Coturnix japonica: one gene and its partner. The protein of the gene in region 1 purifies or fractionates together with the protein of each later gene. This does not show direct contact. Links are inferred from orthologs where the notes say so. Each region holds a gene or a part of one and is shown on either strand. Other genes may lie near its edges. The genes, in order: OSBPL9 and VAPA.

Region 1 (4,547 bases):
TTCCAACAGTACCTCGAATAGCTATAAAGTTTTAAGTCCTTTAACAAACTGCCCTCCCTGTGTCCCGGCCTTGCTGTTAGTGCTGTTCGCACAGCTACGCCAATTCAGCTTTTCATACAATTAAAATATTTATTTACAGAATACAGATGAAACGTGAATTTTAAATCAGACTTTCAACCTCAAGGGGCTCTCTGGATTATTTCTACAGGATTCCCATGGGCAGTCACAGCTCGGGCTGTGCATTTAAGACAGCACTGCTATCCGAAAACACAACAAAAAGCAAATTGCTTTCACCTCCCTTTTCCTCCATAGCGATTTCTTTGTCTCTGCCAGCACAAAGCCAACACATGTTTTCACACTGACGTGCAGAAAGAAAACCACAGAATGAACTCAACTGAAAAAAACAAATCAGCAGAAAGTTTCTCAGCTGTAAACCAGCTTAAGGAACAACTTTACAACTCCTGTGCCAGCAGAGATGATCTATTTGGAGGCTTTCCTTTTAAATACTGTCAGTGCCTCCAGCTACATCCTGCAAACAGCACGGTGCTTCATAGCCTTGTATTTGCTTCACCTCTAAGAGAAACGGTGGATTCACAAATCAAAGCATGTCACTGTTAATCTCTCAAACCATTGGCCAAACTGATCCAAAATGGGATACATTTATTTCATATTTGTTTCTTCTTAAAATGAAAACAAAACAACGACAATCATTTACTGCTGCTGGACAAGTCATTTATCTAAGCAAAACCATGTAAAGATGATCAATAGTTGGATAGGAGTCCAGGCCTTTTACTCTCTGGAATATATCACTCATAAATAAACTCTCAGATACAATTATAAGCAAATCTGAGGATGAGAACTGATGAGAAATGTATGAACACAAACTGCAAACTACAGAAAAGGAAAGCAGAGAAGAGCAAACGATGTAAGAACTTTTGCCTTGATCCCTGAAGTCTTTTATCGTGTCAGGAATGTAAATGTAATTGAGTTCATTTGTTCCTCGTCTACGCATTCAAAACATATTTAGGTTAATAACTACTCAAGTTAGCAAAAGAAAAGGCATACTAATTTAGATGCAATACTGCTGTACAGCAGCTGCTTAGATGCTCATTCCACATGGACTCTTCTGCAGCCTATTTTACGCTATTACACAAGAAGATGAAATACAGCCATGTGAGGACACGCCAAGGAACAGATCTGCTCTTCTGTACCTCTCTAGTGAAAACTTCAGCTGCATCAGACAGGAACGCCTTGCAGCTTTCCACAGCTCCCCTGCCAAAGTCCAGCTGCCTCTTGCACCTGCTGGAGAAAGCTCCTGCTTGTACTTTTTGGACTGAAATGGGCTAAGGGGTCTGTAAGAGGTGACGAGAAGGTAAAAGTAGATGAGTTAAATGTAAGCTCTCCTGTCAGCCAAGTCGTTTCCAGGTGCACACCTACACAGCCAAGTGGAAACAATCTCAACATACCCCACCCATGCATTATACACATCAGGAAGGGCTGGTTTCAGGTTCAAAATCACGCAGCTGCACCTACACGCAAAGACTGCATTGCTTCAAGCTGAAACTGGCTCAGAGCAAACTGTGTTCAGCTGCATGTACCTGATCACACAGGTAAGCTTCTATTTCAAAATACAAGCAGACGTACACAGAAACACAGGCAAAATCTCTGAATGGCCATTTCCTACACAAAGCTCCCAAACTCCTAATGTCATTATTGCTTATTCAACACAGTCTTTGAAACTGACATTATAAACTGAAGTACTTTGCAGACCAATACAGAAAGCGTTCTGTAGGAACATTTAACTGCAGGACTCCGTGGCACAAAGCAGGGAGCGTGGTTTGATTTTCCGATCCTAAGTAGAACTTTTAGGGCAGGTAGGTTAAAAAAAAGAATGTTTTAATCTGAGAACTAAAAGTCATTAGAATGACAGACATGCTAAGTTATATTGAAGTGCAACGTGTATGTAGGGATATCTAACCATAGGAAGTAATGAGATTTCAGAACTGATATTCATTAAACTGGTGAAGACCACAGTCAGAAAGTCGCTGCAGTAACCAGAATCATCATCCACCAGTCATCAGTGACTGCTTCTATTTCTACAGCTGAGCATGAGGAGACTTTGCACCTTGGACCTTCACCTCAAACAGCTGCCATACAAACAGCCATTAAAAAGCTATAAAGGTAGCTCTATTTCTCCACCATATCCCAGATGCAGGTAAAGCAGGAGTTTTGAATTAGGTTTTCTAAGTGGATAATGCTGAATTATAAACTCGTGGAGCTGTGGAACTAAGCCTTGCCCTAACAGAGATGGACATTCAGAATGAGGGAGCATAAGTTTTACACGTAGCCGTACTGTGGAAGTACCTGTAACAATGCCATTTTAACACAAGGAATACACCGTGTGACTGCTGTTTTACACAACTTCGCGTTCAAAAGCGGGAAGTTCTCGACGGAAACGTCAAGCCGACGTCTTAGTGGCAGCTCCCTGCTGCTGAGCCAGCGAAGCGGGCACACGGCGCTGCCAAGGAGGTGCCGGTGCTGTGTGAGCACCCACGGGCCGGGACGGACCGAACGCCCCCTCAGCGCCAACGGCCGCTCCCGCCCAACGGCCCCGCCCCCGCGCCGGACACCAACAATAACAGCGCCGCTCGCCCCCACCCATAAATCTCCCCGCAGCGCCACCCCATTGGCCGCTCCCGCCGCCTCCTCCTTCCCCATTGGCCGCTCCCGCCGCCTCCTCCTTCCCCATTGGCCGCCCGAGCGCTCACACCGCCCCGCGTCCCCTCCCCGCCCCCACCCTGCTCCTCAGCCCGGCTCTGGGCTCCCCGCCCGCCCTGCCCGCCGCTGCCCCTCACCGTGTAGTAGGAGAGGAGCCCGGCGTTGTAGTCCAGCACGAACCAGCGGTACTGCCAGCCCTTCATCACATTGGTCCATTTGCTCAGCGGGCCCTCCATGATAGACGCCATCTTAAGCACCGAAACCGGCACCGCCGCGCGCACTGCCCGTGCGGTGAGGGGAGAGACACGGGGAGAGACACGGCGGCGGCCGGGAGGGGACGGGGCGGGGCCTGCGGACACGGCGGGGCGGGGCGGGGACGGGGGACGGGCCTGCGCGCGCAGCGGGACCGGGAGTGTAATGGTGGGGCGGGGAGAAGGGGGGGGAACCGCTAATAGATGTGGTGTGATGTGATGGGGGGTGTTGGGAGCACAGCGGGAACGGGGACGGGGAGCTTGGGTTTGTGAGTGTCCGCAGTGGGGCTCCCGGTGAGCCTCAGAGGGCGAGGTGTCACCGAGGGCTGTGTGGGAAGGGCGTGATGCTGTGGTGGTTGGTGGCTGTGGTGGTTGATGCTGTGGTGGTTGGTGGCTGTTCTGTCAGCTTTCCTTTGGTTGTGTTTGTCCCCGTGTCTCACAGTTCACTTCACCTCTGGGTCTGACCCGTCAAATCCATGTGTTCAGGTCTGCCACGACTGGTGTGCATAAAAGCATCCAGGGTGTGAGGTGAAAATGGCACGCGTTGGCTTCAGGGTCACCTTAAGGGTAACGCTCATGGGAACAGCACACAGCTTTCCTTCTGTCTGCTCCAGCGATGTGGAATGCATTCCCCTGCAGCTGTGAACAATGGTAAATCTCCTGTTAAAGGCGTGTTCTTTGGCTCCACTTGAGCATAAATATGTAATTTCAGCTGTACTTCAGCACAACATCTCTCTTGACATAGAGCTACTCATGCTCCTCCCTAGGGATGGACCCAGTTGTTTCCCTGGTTGTGAAGAAGAATCAGTCCAAGGCAGTCTCTGTGTCTGATTCCATTGTATTTTTTTTTTTGTATGTTGTTTTGTATGTTTCTAATACACCCTCCCATTTCACACATCACATTGCTCACTAGTTTGTTACCAAGCCAAGTTGGTAGTTTTGACATTAGAATGCACCTGGTGCTGTGTTTATGCGTGGTGTTACCAGTTGAATCTAGCTAATACCTGAGTCCATCTTGAAGTCCAGCTTGCTCATTTTGCTAAGTCCTTTCCAGGCTGCCTATGACCTCAGCAGTCCTCTGTGTTTAGTTTCACTGACCCAACAAAGCAGGGCTGCCTGGAGATTAAAACAAAAACATCAGATGGTGCCAGAACGTTACCAGCGCTACCATTTAAAGCTTCACTTGGGTTGGAGCTTTATCTCAGATCATGACTTTTGCAGTATTGTGCCACAAAAGTTGAAGCTATGCAAAGAGCTTGGCTTAACTGTGAAAGGGCTGAATGTTCTCAATTGGAAACTCAACTGAAGGGCTTTCGGTTTACCTTGTTACGCCATAGGCCGAAATGGCTAAGCTCCATCATACACTGGGTAGCCCCAGCTGTGGTATAACTTGCCTTTATGTACCCTTTGTATCACATCATCACCACCATCAGTTTCAATGAACTACTTGAAATAGAAGTTAGCCAGTTACTTCCTTCATTGATTAATTTAGTTTGCCCCAAAGTGTTCTGTCTGTATCTTGCTGTCATCCCACATGACTGGACACCACAGAGTTCAGCAGAGCTAGGCTGAAGGCAG
Region 2 (4,552 bases), on another chromosome or scaffold:
TCTTTTCCAACCAGGCTAATTCTATGATTCTATGTCGCAAAAGCAGGTCTTATGTCTGGGGTAAAAATCTGGAGTATGTTTTTTCTTAAAAGAACCATTTTCTAAGAACAACCTAAATGTGAGTTAACTTGCAATTACATCACTGTCTCTTTTGATTTCAGGAAGACCAGCTGAGTTTCCATCACAAAACTAGAAAGTTTGGACTTGAAAACTTCAAGCGTCGTCATTCCACTACATGACTGTTCAGCAGCTAAAATAGATCTAAAAAAACCAAGGTATTTACTCACAAGGAACCAGTTCCAAATGATGATAATCTTCCTTAAACGAGACCTACAGACAATTCTGTTCCTCTTGACACATTTGCACAACGCTCCAAAATACATTTGCCTCGTGGTTCCCCTTAGGCATCCCTGATGGCCCCACAACCCAAAGAAACGCAGCTATCACAGCAGCAGAGGGAATCGCCCAACACCAACGCGCTATCAGTGGATTCCTAGGAATGCCAGGTACTACAAGAATGGGATTCTAATCTTTCTGACACCAAAGCAAACACAGCGTGTTAACCACGATGAGACAAGTTTATAGGCTCCTTTTGAAAGGTGCGGAATCAAATTCAGCACGTAGTTTCTCTATGAGCCAACAACAGCTTCATCAGACAGTGCTGATGAATTTTAAGTGCTGTCAAGTGTTCCTCACATAAGTTCTACCAACCCTTTAATTTAAGTCCTTGTTTGCAAAAGGGCACTTTAACACATTTCACTGCTACCCTAAAGGTCGGCAAATTCTCTACAAGTCACTGAATGAGGCAAGAAAACCTATGGAGCTATTTGTTCTGTTCTGATGGCCGGACATCAACAGTATTAGGACGATAATACCAATATTGGACAACCATCCCAGTAAACAATTCTGAATAACCAACTACACTGAAAAAAAAAAAAGAGATCATATGATTTTCCTACATCGAAGTTACGCTGAGAAACTCTGAGTCATGCACTCTCTTAGTAACCAATTATGTTTCAAAAGATAATACTTGCTGTTCTCTTCAGCCAATAGTGAACTCTTCCATTCAACACTTCAGAATTGTATGACTACCTGTGGCCCACAGACCTTTCTGAAGACCTCAGAACAATAAGCAGGTGGAAAATATTTACCTGTGTGAGGTGGTGTAGGGAGCCTGCTTTGGCAGGGGGGTTGGACTTGATGATCTCTTGAGGTCCCTTCCAACCCCTACAATTCTGTGATTCTGTGAAAGCACCAGCTGCTCTTTAAATAGGTAGGTGTTGCTGTAGCGTATTACAGTAATAATACAGTATTAGAGAGCACTTGCCATGGTGTCCCACTGCAGTTCCATTACACTTCAGACTTCAGGTTCGCTCAATCTGCTCAACATTTTCCTACCATGTGCATGAGCATGAAACCAAACTTCGTGCCTAATAAACGTGTTTTGTAAACACATGACAGCACCGATCACTGTCTGACAATAGCTTCATCCTGACAATTTCTACGTCTAGTACTCGCTGTATTCACTGTCACCAACACCGTTTCAAACCACACAAAAACACGGTTTGCTTCCAGCTTGAAGACAACACAAGATGCAGGAGCTTCAACCTGCTCCTGCAAGAGTGCAGCGCATTGAAACCCAGGTGCAGATATTCTAACATAATACATAAGCTCCCACTGTGGTTTTGGTTGTACCTTTGGATGTGCAATTTCAAAACTGCAGCTATTAGGAAGTTAAGATGCGTGACACGACAGAATTCTTCCTTTTTTTCTGTTTTAAGTGATTTGATGGCTCTCCAAAACAGGTAAAGCTTGTGAAAAGCCCCTTTGATGAAGCAGACTTCAGTCTTATTGCCAGGACCAGACAAAAGTATCTGGGGGAAATAGTGTTTGTCTTTGATATGAACATCAACCTGCTCTGCTTGTTCAGCTCTCTAAATTGACAGGGCAGGATGCTCGATTGCCCCTTAAACAATGAAAAACGAGCCTAATAAAAACCAAACACCAACACTTACGGGATTATGCAAGTACGAGTGTTGACACCAGCTACAAAAGATGTAAGCTAAGCATATGAGCAACATCTCATTCTAGCACGTTTGCTTTGCCGTTGCGTTTGGCTCTTTTTAACACACACCTTTCCAGAATCACTCTGCAGGAGCCACAGCTGGGATAGCTGTGGGAATGGAGTGATTGGTGAGGAGGGGATAACACCCCATACACCAATAGCGCCGACCGCAGCCCCTTCCGACAGCGGCGCACCCGACAAACGTGACATGCCCGAAAACACCTCAGCCCGGGGACCTCCCTCCCGCCCCTACCTGCAGCGTTCAGCGCCGGCGGAGCTGACAGCAGAGCCGCCCGTGTAGGCACTCATGGCAGGGGGCGGCCGGAGCCGCTGTGCGGGCAGACCGGGCGCGGTGCCCGCCGGGGGCCGGGCCGCGGCGCTGCCGGGGCCGCGGACACGCCGGAGCCGCCGCGGGATCGCAAGATGGCGGCGGCCGAGCCCGCTCCCCGCCTCGGCGGCACCCCCCCACCCCGGCGCCGGCGGCCTCCTCGAGGGACCCGAGCGGGCAGGGCCCGGCCCCGCGGAACGGGGTGAGGCTCCTCGCGACGGCCGAGGGAAGCGGGACACCCCCCGCCCCGGCCGCCCGGCGCCCCGCTGCCCCTCACCTTTGAATTTAAGGTCGGTGGGCGGATCGAGCACCAGAATCTGCTCGTGCTTCGCCAGAGCCCCGGCGGCCGCCATCTCGCTCGTTCGCTACGGCGGGAGGAGGAGAGGGGGAGGGTGGGAGGAGGAGGGGGAGGAGGAGGAGAAGGAGGAGGAGGAAGAGAACGAGGGGCGGGACGGGGAGCCCGGGCGGCGGTAGCGCTTTTCCCTACGCCTTGCGGCGGGTGCAGCCGCTCTTTAGCCCGGCGCTGCTCGCTGCTCACCGCTCGCTCCCCACGTCGCACCGGCGGCCCCCGGCAACGCCGCCACTCCGCGGGCACGAGGGCGGAGGCGGCAGTGACCGGGCCTGCTGTGCGCATGCGCCCTCCCGCTTTGCTCGCTCGCTCCCCCACCGCCGGTCGCCGGCCCTGACGGGAGCCCTGCGACGGAGCCGAGCGGGAAGGAGCGGATCCACGCTCCGGGAACGGGCTGTGGGAGCGCTGCGCATCACACAGTATCACAGTGTTGTGCGGGTTGGAAGGGACCTGAGAGATCATTGAGTCCAACCCCCGGGATTCGAGCCCTGTGTAGCAGAGCGGCACTTCTACCACTTGCGCCACAGGGGGGATTCGAACCCAGGGCCTCCAGTGTTGCAACGCGGCATTGCTACCACTGCGCCACCGGGGCACACGCATGCGCCGCTGGGGGTTGTAGTGTTTCTCGGTGCCTGGTGGGCTCTGTAGTCCAGGTTGGGGTGGTGTGTGGTGATGTGGCGTCGTGCTCTGCCTGGCGTCTCAGTGTGGTGTCATTGAAGCTGCCGGAGAGAGGGTAAGAGTGGGTGAAAAGTGAAAGGCCTGGGTGAGTTCATGCAAGATCGGAGTGTGGGTGATGGAATTTCTTCTCTCGTGGACTCACCAAAGATTACTCCACAGTGTTTCTCTGAAGCAATAATTCAGCCCCGGAATTATGTGGTAGTTATATACCTGAAGAATTTCTGAGTTTTTTTTCTCAAAGAATTTCGTGGTGTAGGGAACCTGCTTTGGCAGGGGGGTTGGACTCCATGATCTCTAGAGGTCCCTTCCAACCCCTACAATTCTGTGATTCTGTGAGATACGAGGAGCTGCTGCAAAACTCTAAATACCTCCAGAGGTTCTCTCCTTTCTCTTTTTAAATAGGCTGTCTTGACTCTGTTGCAGTCAGTAGCAAAACCTCTCACCAATTGCAGTGAGATGTCATTCACAGAATCACAGAATGACCCGGGTTGGAAGGGACCTCAAGGATCATGTAGTTCCAACCCCCCTGCCTGGCAGGGCCACCAAACATACACATTTACTAGATCAGGTTGCCCAGGGCCCCGTCCAACCTGGCCTTGAACACCTCCAAGGACGGGGCATCCACAACCTCCCTGGGCAGCCTGTTCCAGGGCCTAACCACTCTCCTAGTATGTCATTCCGGAGGTGTCTCTAGTATCTGTATCACTGCTTGCAGGCAGCTAACATTTGCTTAACGTGAGTTTAACATTTGTCCTGTGTGCTTGTAGATCTTCATGTTTATTCACATTGTGAATTCAGCATCATTGTTGTTATAGTATCTCAGTTTGGAGACTGCCTGACATTTTTCAGAGCTGTTTGCTATTAAATATTAAATGAGTTTTCTTTATGCCTGAGAAGTATCAATGTAGGCTCAGTTTCATAATACTCTTTTCCACTGTTTATTATTCAGGTAGTTTATTCGGTTCCGCCAACTCTGAACTTGAAAGTGTCTTGCAATAAAACAATATCATGGCTTGCTTTGCAATTCCTTGGTGTTATTAAGATTGTCAGAAAAAGCAACCAAGTGCCACGTTACTTGTCATGTTAATGGAAAAACCTCAGTCTCGCTCACTGAAGTAACATACGTATCCTG

What was found.
Region 2: the proteins of OSBPL9 (region 1) and VAPA purify together in Homo sapiens (co-immunoprecipitation; 5 studies listed by BioGRID and IntAct, counting the BioPlex papers as one, with this or other methods). This does not show direct contact. The link is inferred for Coturnix japonica from reciprocal best matches to the Homo sapiens genes OSBPL9 and VAPA.

What each region holds. Positions count from the first base shown.
Region 1 is NC_029523.1:21,539,720-21,544,266, reverse strand, and holds the start of OSBPL9 (oxysterol-binding protein-related protein 9), read right to left. Parts: upstream 2,999-4,547; 5' UTR 2,967-2,998; coding exon 2,856-2,966; intron 2,384-2,855; exon of another isoform or gene 2,380-2,383; coding exon of another isoform or gene 2,365-2,379; intron 1-2,364. UniProt on the Homo sapiens protein: Interacts with OSBPL11 to function as lipid transfer proteins.
Region 2 is NC_029517.1:88,648,680-88,653,231, forward strand, and holds the start of VAPA (vesicle-associated membrane protein-associated protein A), read right to left. Parts: upstream 2,879-4,552; 5' UTR 2,747-2,878; coding exon 2,671-2,746; intron 1-2,670. UniProt on the Homo sapiens protein: Endoplasmic reticulum (ER)-anchored protein that mediates the formation of contact sites between the ER and endosomes via interaction with FFAT motif-containing proteins such as STARD3 or WDR44.